2 linked regions of the Tamandua tetradactyla genome follow. The protein of the gene in region 2 interacts with the protein of the main gene of each other region in a biochemical or structural test. Links are inferred from orthologs where the notes say so. Each region holds a gene or a part of one and is shown on either strand. Other genes may lie near its edges.

What was found.
Region 1: the proteins of INSR (region 2) and GRB10 form a complex in vitro, tested with the Homo sapiens proteins (5 studies listed by BioGRID and IntAct). The link is inferred for Tamandua tetradactyla from reciprocal best matches to the Homo sapiens genes INSR and GRB10.

What each region holds. Positions count from the first base shown.
Region 1 is NC_135327.1:73,042,545-73,049,759, forward strand, and holds the start of GRB10 (growth factor receptor-bound protein 10), read right to left. Parts: upstream 3,046-7,215; 5' UTR 2,951-3,045; intron 2,679-2,950; exon of another isoform or gene 2,102-2,678; intron 1-2,101.
Region 2 is NC_135337.1:83,573,173-83,580,481, forward strand, and holds the start of INSR (insulin receptor), read right to left. Parts: upstream 3,191-7,309; 5' UTR 3,165-3,190; coding exon 3,065-3,164; intron 1-3,064. UniProt on the Homo sapiens protein: Receptor tyrosine kinase which mediates the pleiotropic actions of insulin.

The sequences.
Region 1 (7,215 bases), on a different chromosome or scaffold from region 2:
AAAGGTAACCTCCACTAGTAGAAAAAGTCTGTTTACACTCTGAACATACGACTGACTCTTTACATGAAAGACAAGGCACATATTTTCTCATGAGCCCATGCAATTCCGTGTTGGTTTAACGACAGCAAACGTGCAAATGCACACGCATCCTTCCCAGCAGGCACAAAGCAAGTACAGAAATCCCTGTAGTGAGTTTTCAGAGTTTTGACAGTCTGGCAAACTAATTTTAATACAAACTAAAAATACATTCTATCATTGTGTAGGCTTTCTCTTCCCACGGCAGCTAAGAGCTGGACAGAATTCCAAGGAAACAGGTTAAATTATAACACCTTTAAAGCATTAGGTTTTATCAGATATACAAACTAAGAATTTTATAGCTCTGTGATGAAGCTGATGGCACAATAGATGTCTTTGTTCTAGCAGGAATATGATTTCTATACATTGTAAAATCTCAGATCTGGGCGGATCATGGAAATCCAATATCCTGAGCTTGCTCTCAGATTCTGACTTTGCTCTTCTCTTCCGATGGAGTCCGGCACAACACAGGTCACTATAACTGGACCAGGGCTGCCCTAGGTTCTAATCCTGGACCCACCATCAGAGCAAAGTCCTGTTCAATAACTGACAAGAAACTACCCAGCCTGGGGGGCCCTGGCCCACAAAATGAAAAGTGTTTTGACCAGTCCAGGGCGGCCCCAAAAGCGGTACATACCAGCAGTGACACACAACAGAAGACCTGAAAGTTATACAGCTTTTCTGTTTTAATTCAAATAAACATAACTACTATATCAAACTCACAACTTCATGGGTATCAAAGTTTCTGCCGAATATAAATGTGTATCTAAGAGTATTAAGCGAACCGATTAGAAGAAAATACTGATGGTATGATAACAGAGCAGAAATTTTGACTACTGGGAGCTGCTGGACAAAATGCTGGCCATGGGTCCTTCTAGTTCTCCTTGTGTGTGACTGACCAAGCTACCTCCTCCCTGCCATTTCTGCTCCAGAGGTGGACATACCTGTGTAAAAGCATAAAACCCACAGGACTAAAAAGATGCCACAGCTCAGGGTCTGTTGACAGCTCTGTCATTTGCTGGCCCTGCAACTTAGGTATATGGCTTAACCTCCTGAGACTTTGTTCCCATACCTGCAAAATGAGGATCAGGAGGGCTGAGGAGGGAATTATAGGCAGCAGGCTTTTGAAAGTGTACTTGTAAACTGCAAACTGCTACAGAAGTATCAGTCTCTATACTTCTCAGTTACACAAGCAAAGCCTGCTGGGTGTGTAACTCTGTCTGTCCTCAAATTCCCTCCCTGTAATCTGGGGATTGCCCTGTGTGACCCTTCTCTTTCAAGTGCTCCCGGTGAAACTCAATTATTATGTGCAGTAATCCTAGAGCTCTGATTTTTAATAGAAAAAGCCAAGCATCTAGAATCATTCCTGGAGATACCTTAGGTTTCAGGGTTTTGCCTAAATAAAATACTCCCCCAAAAGATATTTTCTAACAGCCTTGAGGCCAGAACTTTTCCTGCTACTGAAACCTAGGTTCTACCTATTTTTCCTCCGGGGGTGGGGGTCAGGGGTGGGGGTGGGGCAGGAGAGGGTCTCTAGGTTCATTCCTATAAAAAATTACTAGTATTGTGCTGTAAACTCTAGTCCATGCACTCACAACATGTGTTCTTAGTAAAACTGAGCGAAATTTTAAATGCAGCACCATGTCTGAAACACAGGGGCTCCAAACGGCTGAATCAGCATTTTCAGAAACAAAGTGTTCTGGGCCAGGCCTCTTAAAACAGCAGCAAAGAGAAAAGTTGTGCAATAACGCAGATTTACTCACGAGCACTAGTTGTTTTGGTCTTTTCCTTGCATCTCTTGAATGAGACTGGGTACCACGGTTGCAACAAAACATTATTTTTTTGCATCATATGATTTTGGTGCATCATAAAGATACAGGACCTTGTAAAAGTTACCTGTGGCTCCCCCACATTACCCAAGGTTTCACGCAAGGCAAACGGCAAAAAGTTCTTCGCGTTTCTTCCAATCCCAAGAAAAGAAAAACAAAATTAAAAAGTAAAGAATACACTAATTTCCATAACGCACATGCTCAAGTACTCTCACCAGGCAGGCCAGGCATTTGGAGACGCCATCAGAAAAGGCGGAGCATTGCATCAGAAATTTCCTTCTACAAACGGTACCGCTCTTATCACATTTCCACGGCTGGCGGGGCGGCTAAGCCGCGGGCCCTCAACTTGATGTTAGGCCCAGCAGTGGGTAACGCGGTTATTAACAAAACCCCCAAACCAGAAAACAATCGCCTTCGGGCTGGAGCCCGGAGGCTGGCCGCGCTTTGGACTTGAGAATGTCCAGGCACGGATCGCCCCGGGCTGCCCCGGCCGCTGGAGTCGCGCGGCTCCGTACACAGTTGGAAAAAAGAGGAGAGGAGGTTCCAGCAGCGCCTCGGTGCCCAGCGCGTCCCGGAGCGGCTCCCCCGGGGACAGGGGACAGTGGTCCCCACCCCCACCGGCGAGCAGCTCGCGTCTGACAAGATGGTTCAAGAATGCACCGTTTGAGCTCAACATCTCCCCCCAGGGGTCGGGAAAGGAGTCGGGAGAGCCCTGGGCAGCGCGCCCCGCCAGCTCCGCAGCGCGCTCGCCCGCATCCCCACAGCCAGCCTTCGAATTCCTCGGGCTGGGGCTTGGGGCGACAAAGCGCCCGGCTCGCAGGCGACGCCCTTCCGCCGCGCCCCGCCCGCCGTCCCGGGGCGCCCACCGTCTCTGGCCGCGGCCGGCCAGCACGCAGACAATGACCGCGACCGGCCGCTCCGGCGCGCGGGGACCCTCCAGGCCGCCGGCGTGCCCGGGCCTCCAGCGGCGGGCGCCCAGCGACAAAAGTAACTTCCCCGCCGTGCTCCCGACCAACTTCTCGGCGCGCGGCCCAGCCGCTCCGTACCTGCTGCGGGAGCCGGCCCCGGGGTCGTCTCCGCGGGGCTGCCGGCGACACTTCGCCCGGTCCGGGGCACGGCGCGCAGAACGGTCACCCCGGGCGGGTCCGCGAGCTCCCGCCGCCGCCGCGGGTAGGTTGCGCGCAAACTTTGGGATTCCGACGCCGCCTGTGCCGACGCTGCTGCCTCCGGCTCTCCGCTGGCCGAGCACGGTCCCCGCCCGCCCCGGCGCGCACCCTCCGCCCAGCCCAGCTGCCTGCGGCCCCGCGCCCGCTCTCTTCCCTTCCTTCCTCCCTCCCTGCCTCCCCGCCCCCCTGGATGGGCTTTAAACTCTCCCAGCCTCGCCCGCCCCGCCCCCGCCTCCTCCCCCAGCCGCCTTTCCTGCTCCGCCTCCCGCCGCCGCCGCCGCAGCCCGGACCGCTTGGCGGCGGCCACCGCGGGAGGAGCCGCGGTCTCGGCCCAGGGCGTGGCACGCAGGGCTGCCCGGGCCGAGCCGGGGAGGCGGCCGCAGCGGGCCAGCCTCTTTCCCCGAGGCTCTGGCAGCGGTGTCCACGCAGTGCCTGTCCCGGGCGGAGCGCGATGGGAAAGGCAGCTGCAGATGGGCGCGCCTGGGAGTCCAGGTCCGCGGGCGGGAGCGGGACCCGGGGAGCCCAGGCAAGAGACAAATCCGATCTGCTCCAAAAGGCAATTGCAAGCGATTTGAAACTCTGTAACGTCCAAAACTTTTATCCCGGGGCGCGTCAGAAAAACTAGACCGATGGAACTGCGGCTTTCCGAACTCTGTCTTGGGGCTGGTGATCCCCCGGCCCGGGAAAAGGAACCTGGTCGTCCAGTGTGAGCTCATAGGCAGCCAGGTCTGGGGCCTTCACCTCTCTAGCCAAAGTTTTCCCCTGTGCTTGTGAGTATGGGAAGGCCCTGCAGATACTTCCTGAATGCCGGTCAGGCTCAGTGTCATTATCTTTGAAATGGTTAAATAAGAACCCCCGCTGAGAATGATGTCCTGGGGCAGAGAGGAGGTAAAACTTTAACTTACAGTGACTAGCAGGAACAATGCCCTGAATTAATGGAAACTATTGTCCTTACTACTGTGGAGTCAAAATTATAATACAAATAGGATAATAATAATTATGCCTTTCTGGGCTTTGATGTTATAAAACTAGCTACAGTAACTTACCTTTATGGAGTATGTAGTGTATGCCAAACATTCATTAATCCTCTTACCTATTCCCCACCCTTGCCTTCTGTGGTTGCTCCTTGAGAAATACCCACTATACAGACTTGTAAACAGTGTGATTTGCCTGAAGGTCTCGTGGCTAGTGAACTGCAGAGCAAGGATTCAAAGTCCTCTATTGTGGCAAAGCCCTTCAGAAGCACTTCGGAATCATTCCTTCTTTCTAGCAATGTTTTTTCCCCAAGATGCTCAGATGAAATCAATAGAAAGGCCAACCTTTCCTGTAACTGAAACGAGCCTTCCTCTGATTCCCTCCCTATAAAACCCTTAAGATGAAAACCAGGGGAGATGCTGTGTAAGGATCTTAGCTTCCTGGGAAAAAGAAACACGAAGAATAATATCATAGGCAAAAGACTCAAAAGGAAATTAAAGAATAAGGAAAAGAAGAGAAAACAAGATTTTGGCTCACTTCTTTCAAGCACACAAGCTTTGAAATTTACGACTTGGCTGAAGGCGCCAATTAGCAATTTTTGCCTACCTGTCAGAAAACTTGATGGACAGGAAATTTTATAAATGGATGAAAAGTACATCTATACGTCTATACATGTATGTACCTTTTCTGAGCCTTTTGTGGGTATGATCCATACACTATGACCCTTTACCCCTATGTACTCTGATGGGTCTTTCCAAAGAATAGGGATATTATCTCAATAACCACAGTACAGTATTCAGATTCTTGAATTTTATTGATAAAATATGTGTATGTAAACTACGTCTATATTCCAATTTTGTCAGATGATCTGATAATGTCCTTTATAACATTTCCCCCCTCCATTGCAAGATTCGTTCTAGGGCCGGGTATTGCATTTAGTTGTCTATGCTAGTTTGAAACTGTTATGTACCTGAGAAAAGCCTTGTTCTTCTAATCCTGATTTCAACATTGTAGGATGGGACCTTTTGATTAGGTTGTTTCCATGAAGATATGGCACGCCCAATTGTGGATGTGATCTTTTGATTAGACTACTTCTGTGGAGATGTGGCACACCCAATTGTGGGTATGGCCTTTTGATTAGATGTTGTGCCAGTTTGAATCTGTGGTGGACCCCAGAAAAGCCATGCCCTTTAATCCTCATTCAGTATTGCTGGATGGGACCATTTTGATTGTTTCCATGGAGATGTGACCTACCCAATTGTGGATATTAACTTTTGATTAGATGATTTCCATGGAGGTGTGTCTCCACCCATTGAAGGTGGAGTAGCTTACTGGAATCCTTTAAAAGAGGAAACATTTTGGTGAGAGTCTCTTTTTGTAGAGCCACAAAAAAGATAGCAAATGCCACCATGTTCATCATGTACCCTTCCAACGGAGAAAGAAACATTGAACGTCATCAGCCTTCTTAAACCAAGGTATCTTTCCCTGGATGCCTTAAATTGGACATTTCTATAGACTTGTTTTAATTGGGACATTTTCTCAGACTTAGAACTATAAAGTTGTAACTTATTTAATTCCCCTTTTTAAAAGCCGTTCCATTTCTGGTGTAATGCATTCCAGCAGCTAGCAAACTAGAACAGATGGGGATTAACTCCACCCATTCAAAATGGGTGTTGATTAATTTATTAGAGTCCTTAAAAGAGCTGATATAGACACAGACATAGAGGAGAGATGCTTGGAGTGCCAACAGAGAGGAAATGCCTACACGCAGGCATTTGGAAATGCAGAGCCCAGGGGATGTCACCTTGTGCCTTCCCATAAGATGCTAAGCTAAAAGATAAAATCCAGAGGTTTTCCCCAGCAGAGCTAAGTGAAGGGCCACATATGCTTAGAGAAGAAGCCACTGGAATTAGGAGCTGGAAACAATGGAACCAGGAGCACAGACCAGCAGACACCAGCCACATGCCTTCCCATATGAGAGACTGGCCTTTCTTTGAAGTCAAGATGTATTTCTTTGGATGCCTTAGTTTGGACATTTTTTAAGCCTTAGAACTGTAAACATAATTTAATAAATCCCCTTTATAAAAGACAACCCATTTCTGGTATATTGCATTCTGGTAGCATGAGTAAATTAAAATATTATCTCAGAACATGGAATTTTAAATATTACTGTTTGTGCTGGTTTGAAAGGATGTATGTCTGCTAGAAAAGCCATGTTTTAATCAAAATCCCATTTCATAAAGGCAGAATAATCCCAATTCAATACTGTATGTTTGAAACTGTAATCAGATCATCTCCCTGGAGATGTGATGTAATCAAGAGTGGTTGTTAAACTGGATTAGATGATGACATGTTTCCACCCATTTGGGTGGGTCTTGAGAAGTTTCTGGAGTCCTATAAAAGAGGAAACATTTTGGAGAATGAAGGAGATTCAAAGAGAGCAGAGAATGCTACACCACGAAGCAGAGAATCCACAAGCCTTTAGAGATGAAGAAGGAAAACGCCTCCTGGGGAGCTTCATGAAACCAGAAGCCAGGAGAGAAAACTAACATGTTCACCATGTGCCCTTCCAGCTGAAAGAGAAGCCCTGACTGTGTTCGCCATGTGCCTTCTCACTTGGACATTCCTATAGACTTGTTTAATTGGGACATTTTCTCAGCCGTAGAACTGTAAACTAGCAACTTATTAAATTCCCCTTTTTAAATGCCATTCTGTTTCTGGTATATTGCATTCCAGCAGCTAGCAAACTAGAACACTGTTCATTAAGTAGGGGTGAAGGTAAATAGCCTCAAGTGCTTTCATGCTGACTTCAATCCCCAGAATTCCTAGGACAGGCCCTCAATCCCCAACTCTCCAGGCTCCCAGAAATATCTGGGCATGCCTCTTCCTTTCTGGCCAGGATTCATTCAGGATAACTTTCTGACACAAGTTCATGTGTCTTGTCACTCTTGTGGCTGTACAAACTGCAGTTGTCCCCCATGTGGCAAACCTGACTCAGCCAATCTTACAGGAAGGTTGTACCTTAGTGCTTTCCTCTGCCTCAAACTCCAAATGTCCATTGTGTACATGCTGCCTCTCAGAAGATGGAGGCTGCCATAGTTTCCCAAAGAGGAAGAACTTCCCTGAGGGAAAATATATCTGCTGAAACAGTAGGTGTCAGGAGAGGAAAC
Region 2 (7,309 bases):
GAAGGTCTGAAGGCAGCCGGGGCCCACCAGGAGGGACTTGGCCAGGCCAGCAGGAGAGGTTAGCGGTGGGCAGTGGGGTTCGAGAGAGTATTGAAGAGAGAAAGGCTCGTGGGCAGATGGAAGGCGCTGGATGGAAAGAGCAGGAACCCCAGTAGGAGTCTTAGACAAAGAAAAGTTAACTCCTCTAATGCAGGGGGGCTCTTGACTTGGGACAATTTTGCCTTCCACCCCTCGGGAGGACATCTGGCAATGTTTGGAGACATTTTTTATTGTAAAGGCTGGGGATAGGCGTTGGTGCTGCTGGCATCTAATGGATAGAGGCCAGGGAGGCTGGTCCACACCCTACAATGCACTGGACAGCCCCCTCTGCCACCCACCCCACGACTAAGAATTATCTGGTCCTAAATGTCAAGAATATTAGGCTGAGAAATCCTACTCCAACTGAAGAGGACATGGAAATCAACACAGGGACCTTAGGAAGCGTCCCCATGGTCTCTATGAGTGAGTGGGGCAGGAGACAGTGGAAGGTCTCCAGGAGTGAAGCAAAGATCTGGAATAACCACTCCAAGGGTGCAGGGGATGTCCCGGAACATCTTTCACTACCAAACACCCAAGAGAAGCAGCTCATGACGGTCCCTCATTACAGAGTAGCTGAGAAGTGAGGAGTATCTGAGAAACAAGCGTCTCACACCTCGATTACTATGGAAAGCTCTGAAGGTTTTCACTTTAATCAATACCATGGCACCTTAATTCTCTTAAATCTTAATTCTCTTAGTTAAGACTTCTTAATTCTTAATTCTCTTCCTGCAATGCTGGCAAGTAATCTTGGTTAGAACCATCCAATCCAAATGGCAATAGCGGAAAAAAAGCCACCACCCAGCTCAGTGCAGCAACAACTCCTCGGAAAACCTGGGGCGCTGCAGTTCCACTGACACCTCTGAGAAAGAGTCCTTCCTTCCTTAAAAATCACATTAGATTGGGTGATCTGCCCCACCCCAGTCAAAATGTCATCTTGGCCGACTTTAGAAATTAATGCTCTGGAAAGTTTCTTGCCCCCCCCCCTCACCCACCCAAGCTTTCAAGGGGGTTCAGCTCTCGTTTATTTGAAAGAATAATGTTTTGTTCAACATTATCCCAGGGCAGAAGTGGGGGAGGCTTGGACCCACAACAGGAACTAGTTAAGGAAAGAACAGCCGTTAGTTAAGAAACCCATGCCCTGGGGCCGGACCAGTCTGAGTTCTAATCGTGGCTCTGCCACTTGCTTTTTCAGTGGTTCTCAGCAAATCATCCCCACAAGGGAATGAAAAACCTTACCTCACCAGCAGCAGTGAGAATTGACTGAGATTATACATGCAAAGCATGGAGCACTGTGCCTTGCATGTGCTTACTCTTAGAACTGGTAGTTAGTATAACCAGGAGGAGAAGGAGCTCCTCAACCCAACTACAAAGGAGCTTCGCACTGTGCCTAGTCCCACTGAGGAATAAATATTTACTGAACATCTACCACGCGCCGGGCACAGATGAAACAGACAAAAGCCCCTGCCCCAGTGGATCCCCATGGAAGCTGTAAATACATAAGCAGCTGACCCCTGGAAGCCCAAGGCACAGAACAACTGCAAGGAACAGAAGAGTAGGGAACCACACATATGCAGGCTGTGCACATTATGCATGCCCGCGAGAAGCCTGGCATGGGTTTAACAACTCATCTTGGATTTTTCGTACCAAGAACTCAAACCAACTGCCACCCTTCACTGAGCACCTACTGCATCCCTGACCTTTGGGGACTCCCAGACATTAAGTGGCAGAGCTGCTCAACAAACCTGGTTGGCCAACTCCAAAGCCTATGCTTTCTCATCCACCTCATTCAACACCGAGTACACTTAGGAGATTCTTCTGTTCCTTCCCTCCCAGACCCCTTCTTCATCCATGATCAATTTCCTTTTATGGAAAAATCTGAAGCAACCTCAGATATTTTTAAAGCAGGGCTTCAGACCCCATGGTGGGAAATTAGATTTATGTCCTCAAATGATTCTTCAGTCCCAGTCTCAAAAAGTAGACAATATCAGGCATGAGAAGGATACTGGGGCTGGGGTTGCTTCTGTCTGCTCCAGGCATAGGGACACCTGGAGGGGGGTGTGAGAGGCTCACCCAAGGCCAGAGATTTCCCTCCCCCCCAAAAAAGACTGCAGGTAGAGAGCCCTTTATGAGGGGTAGATCTGGGGGCGGGAGGAGTTGGGGGAGACATGGGTGGTGGGGAAAGAGTCCCCAGCCTTGGGAGGGAAGCTGGCAGAGAGGGGTTCGAGTCCCAGCCCAGGTTCCTACTCTGAGAACAACAGTTATCAGTCTCCAGGGGCCACCGTGAGGGTCCAGAGAGATAAGATGGGCCAGCCCGTGGCATAGGGTGATACTAATTAGAAGAATCTTGATAAAAACTGCCACTACTCCTGTTGCAACTGCAGCCGGTTCTTAGAATTTGCCTCCTCACATCTGGAAGGAGTGTAACTAGAACCCAAAAGTGTAACTAGGGACCTGTAAAATGTAGCCACCGGCCCAGACTCTAGGAAGTGAGAAAGGGAAAGTCCTCCAATTAATTCCCCCACCCCCGCCTCGGGCAGTGACACCCACCAGCGGGGACCCCAAGGGACCTCCCGGCCCGGCACCCCGGGATTTGGCTCCAAACTCAAAACACTCGGCCGTCCGAGGCCGCCCAAACCCTGTGACCCCGAGGGGTCGGGGCCACCCGAAGACGCGGCGCGTCCAGCCTCCCGGGCGCCTTGGGCAAGCAGGGGGGCCAGGCTCGGGTCCGAGGTGTGCGCTGGGGAGAGGCGCCCACGGCGGGGCGGGCACTGGGGGAAGGTGCCTCCCCAGCAGGGCTCGCAACAGCGGGGCGCGGGGCCGCGAGCCCAGGCGGGCGAAGGCCAAGGTCAGCGGCCTCCAGCCCCCCGCGGGGCCGTCCGGGCCACCCGCGCGTCCCCCGCCCCCGGGGACACCCGGTGCCCCGCGGGGGCGGCTCCTTTGGGGGCGGTGAGGGCCCCTCCGCCCGCCCCGGCGCCCCCAGACTCACCGTCTCCGGGATACAGGTGGCCCGCGGCGCCCAGCAGCAGCGCGGCCACGGCCAGCAGCAGCGGCGCGCCCGCCGATCCCCGCCCGGCCCCTGCGCCCATCGCCGCGGGAGCGCGGGGTCCTGCTGCGGTTCAGAGCGCGCGGCGCCGGCCCGCGGGGTGCATGCTCCGAGACGGCCCGCCCGGGAGGCGCCGGGGCCCGCGCGTCCTTCTCTCCCACGCCGGCGGCCCGCGGGCAGCGGCACCCGCCCCGGGAGGGCCCTGGAAACCGCCCCGGGAGGGGCGAGCGCGGGCCTCGGCCGCTCCGAAGACCAGGCGCCCCGGCTCCCCGCCCTCCAGGCCACTCGGGTCCCGGCCCCGCGCTCGGGGTGGGGCTGGGGGGTTCTCGGGGCGCGGACTTCCACGCGGCACCTTCGGCCAAGAGCGTTCTGGGCCCCGCCGTCGGCGGACGCGCGGACGGACAGAGGGACGCGCGGGCGGGCACCTGGGCTGGCGGACGGCGGGAGCGAGGGCTGCTCGGGGCCCGTAAACAACGCGGCCGTCAGCTGGGCCCCGTGCGGGCCGCGGGAAAAGGCGGCGCGGATCCGGCCGCGGAAGGGACGGGGCGCCCGGGAGAGGGGGGCGGAGGCCGCGAAGGGGGAGGGCCCGGCCCGCCCCGCCCTGGCCCGCCCCCGGCAGCCCGCCCTCTTCGGGGCCCCGCGCGGCAGGGCCCGGGCGCGCCCCAACCGAGAGGGCGCCCTGACCCACCCCCCGCACCCTGCTCCAGCCTCGGCGCCCCCCACGGCCCAGAGATTCCAGGGACAAAGTGTGGGCAGGAAGGGGAGCGGGGGGGAGGTGCCCCTCGGATGCTGTCTTTCTTTAAAAGCGTGGATTTTTTTTTTTTTTTTTTTTTTGGTTTTTTCAGCAGTGCATTAAATCCCATTTGTCTCTGTTACTCGTTTTTGTTTTTTGTTTTGGTCACTCCCTTAAATTGTGCAGCCCAAGCGAGCACCTCCCTCGTTGCGCCCGCCCGCGCGACGCTTGTCCCTGCGCGCTCGTGTGCCCCAAATCCACCCCCGGCTCCTGCAACCTGCGCAGTAGGGCGCTCGGGACTGCAGGCCTCGCGCGCCCCCCTGCCCCGCGGCGGATGCCCCGGCAGGCCCCAGGGGACGGCCACGTGCCTGCGCGCCCCGTGCGCTCCGCGTACTCCGTGTCCCCTGCGCCTCGGCGCGGCCTCTGGCTCAAGTTGGACACCTATGACTCAAGTTGGACAAATGACACCTGGGACAATGTGTGTAGGCTCCTAACACAACAGTCCGGGTGCCTAAAGGCCCCAGACAAGGACGCAGGTGGACACCCCCAATTTTCAACATGCAGACCCGAAGTCCATGTGTATCTGAGTGTTTCGCAAGGTTTTTCACCGAGGGGACAAGGCAATGGCCAACCCACCCTCCTGAAGGAGAGGGAGGTCGGCTTGCAGATAGGAAAGCCCAAGCAGACTGGGAATCCGGCTCACCCCTTCATGCAATGGGAGACCTCGGACGGGGGACAATCTCTGGGTCTGGTATGATGGGTTTGTGGATACCTGCATGCCAAGTTAGCCGAGACACAAGGGGAAGCACCCAGCCCAACCCTAGGCCCAGGACATTCATTCTTCCCGTCGTTTATTAAACAAATATTAATTTGTCAATGGCTGGGCCCACAGTTATTCCCAAATGCCAACGTCACATCTCCTTGCCAGGCTGCTTCTTCTATAACGCTTTCCCAGGTGCTCCACATCTCTGCTCCAGAGAGCATGCCCTGACTACGCGCTGCAAATGCTCCCTTCACCCTCATCTCTCTGTTCCCTTCCCCTGTTATTTTCATGGCTGGTTATCTCTACCTGGCATTCTTATTTATTGTTTGGTATATCTTCTCCCCCCGCCATTTTTTTTTTTTTTTTTTACTGCCACCTCCACCCCTAGTGCCCGACATATCTGTTGATTAATCAATATTTCTTTTTTTTTTTTTTTTTTTTTTTTTTTTTTTTAAAGGAAAGACAGAGAGAAGGAGGGAAGGATAGAAGGAAGGAAGGAAGGAAGGAAGGGAAACATCTTTTAAACATTTTCTTGTTTTATTGTATTCTGTTTCTCCGTTTTTGTTACATGGGCTGGGGCCGGGAATCGAACCGAGGTCCTCCGGCATAGCAGGCAAGCACTTTGCCCGCTGAGCCACCGCGGCCCGCCTAATCAATATTTCTTGAAAGGAAGAATCAACAAATAATAAGTAAGCGGGATTGCCAGTGAACAAAATTATAGTCCATTTCCTTGTAGACCTCACAGTTTAGTAAGAGAGCATTAATTAAACAATTATGCGTTTTCGTGGGAGTGGGGAGTCTTCACTCAGAGAAAGATTCCATGAGAAAGTGATATTTCAGCTGAAATCTGCAGATGAGAAGGAGCCAGCCAAAAGTGATGAGAAAAGCCAATCATTTGCTACCTGGAAAAGTGTTTTGGGCACAGGGAACAGCATGTGCAAGTGCCCAGTGGAGACAGAGCAGACAGTCTAGCAAATAAGCCAAGCACTATAGCTGGAGCACAGAAAGGGAAGAGAAGATGCTGGAATGGTAGGCAGGTACTAGAAGGGACAAAACTTCATATATGCCATGTAAAGAGTGTGTTACATTTCACCCCCTTGGGGACGGTTTTACACATAAGGTTGACATAATCAAATTTTCTTTCCAATAATATCTCATTGTCTTCACTGGGGCAAGAGTGGACCCAGGGAGAACATGGAGGAGGCAGCTGCAGACCAGGTATCAAGAATTGTAGGCTGCCTCAATACCAGTCCCCTTCTTTCCTTGTGCAAATCTGCTCCCACAGGAAACCCAAAGACTGCCACAATTCTGGCCGGGTAGCATGTACTAAAAAAGCCCGAAAGATTGATGCAGGACTTCCATGCTGGAAATAAAATCAAAAGAATCATTTCAGCTGTGACTTGCTGGGAGAAAATTAAGACATCATCACTCCCCCCAACCACTCATTGTTTCTTTTGCAAAAATGAAAGCATCTAAAAATTGGAACTTCAAGACCATCTTCTGCCTTTATTAAAACCATGGCTGTAGAAGTAGAAAATCACCTTTAGCAATGTGTATATTCATTGATTCATGCAATACCCCTCAGTGGATGCTTGAAACTAATGAGGAAAACTTTGAGGGGAACGGGATGTTTACATCACTCTCAAGGTACTTGTCAATAACAAAGGGAAGGAGAAAATTGTCACTTCACAGTGGAGAAACCTAGGAGATGCTACATTCATCAAGTGATCAAAGTTGATCCTGGGTTTCCTTTGCAGTGAAAGATAATTTGGACAATTGCAGAAGACTGAAAAAAATCTGCCAATTGGTGAACAGGATTGTTTGAATGTTAATTTCCTCATTATGCTAAAGTGATGTAAGAAAATGTCCTCAGTTATAGAAGTAGATGCTGAACTATGTAGCACACGTGAAGGAACATAATGTCTGAAACTTGACACTCAGATGGTTCAGAAAAAGAAAAAGAGAGAAAACAAAGCAGAGGTGATCCAATTGGTGTAGCTAATAAAGCGAGCACTCAGGAATTCAGTGTACCATTCTTGCAATTTTTCTGGGAGTCTGACTGTGTTGAAATAAAGGAAAAGAGTTTTGGAAACCGTTGGAGGTTTTTTTTAGTTGTTGTTTTACTTTGTTTTTGTTAGGTTTGCTTCAGTTTCAGCACTTCCACACACTGTACTCTGAATGCTCCAAGAAGAGAGAGACCATTTCACAAAGGCGCCAGATCTGACACCTACAAACTTTGTGCTCAGATATTGCACTCATATTGCCCCTCAAGGAGTAGTTGGGGAAATCTACTGCCACACTGCTGGGGTCTTGCTTTAGCAAGACCCCTTGGCACCATCTCCCTCAATGGAGCTGTTTTCCTTTTCATTAAAGCGGGAAAATAAATGCAAACACTCACCCTTATGTTGATATGGAAACCTGCTTAACTCCATTACATTTAGGAGAGGAAAAAGAAAAGACAACAAAGATCTGATCTCATTTGTAAGCGACAGTGCAATACCCCAGAATTGACCAATAGAACAAGACAGAAGCTTCAAAGAACTCAATGCCAATACCAGATTTGAGAACTCAGACCGGGACTGCAGAGATGATTCAAAATTAGGAAATCTATTCATAGAGTTCACTGTATTAATAGATGATGGAAAAGAGCCACATCAACATTTCCAAGATACTAAAAATGTATCTGTTGAAT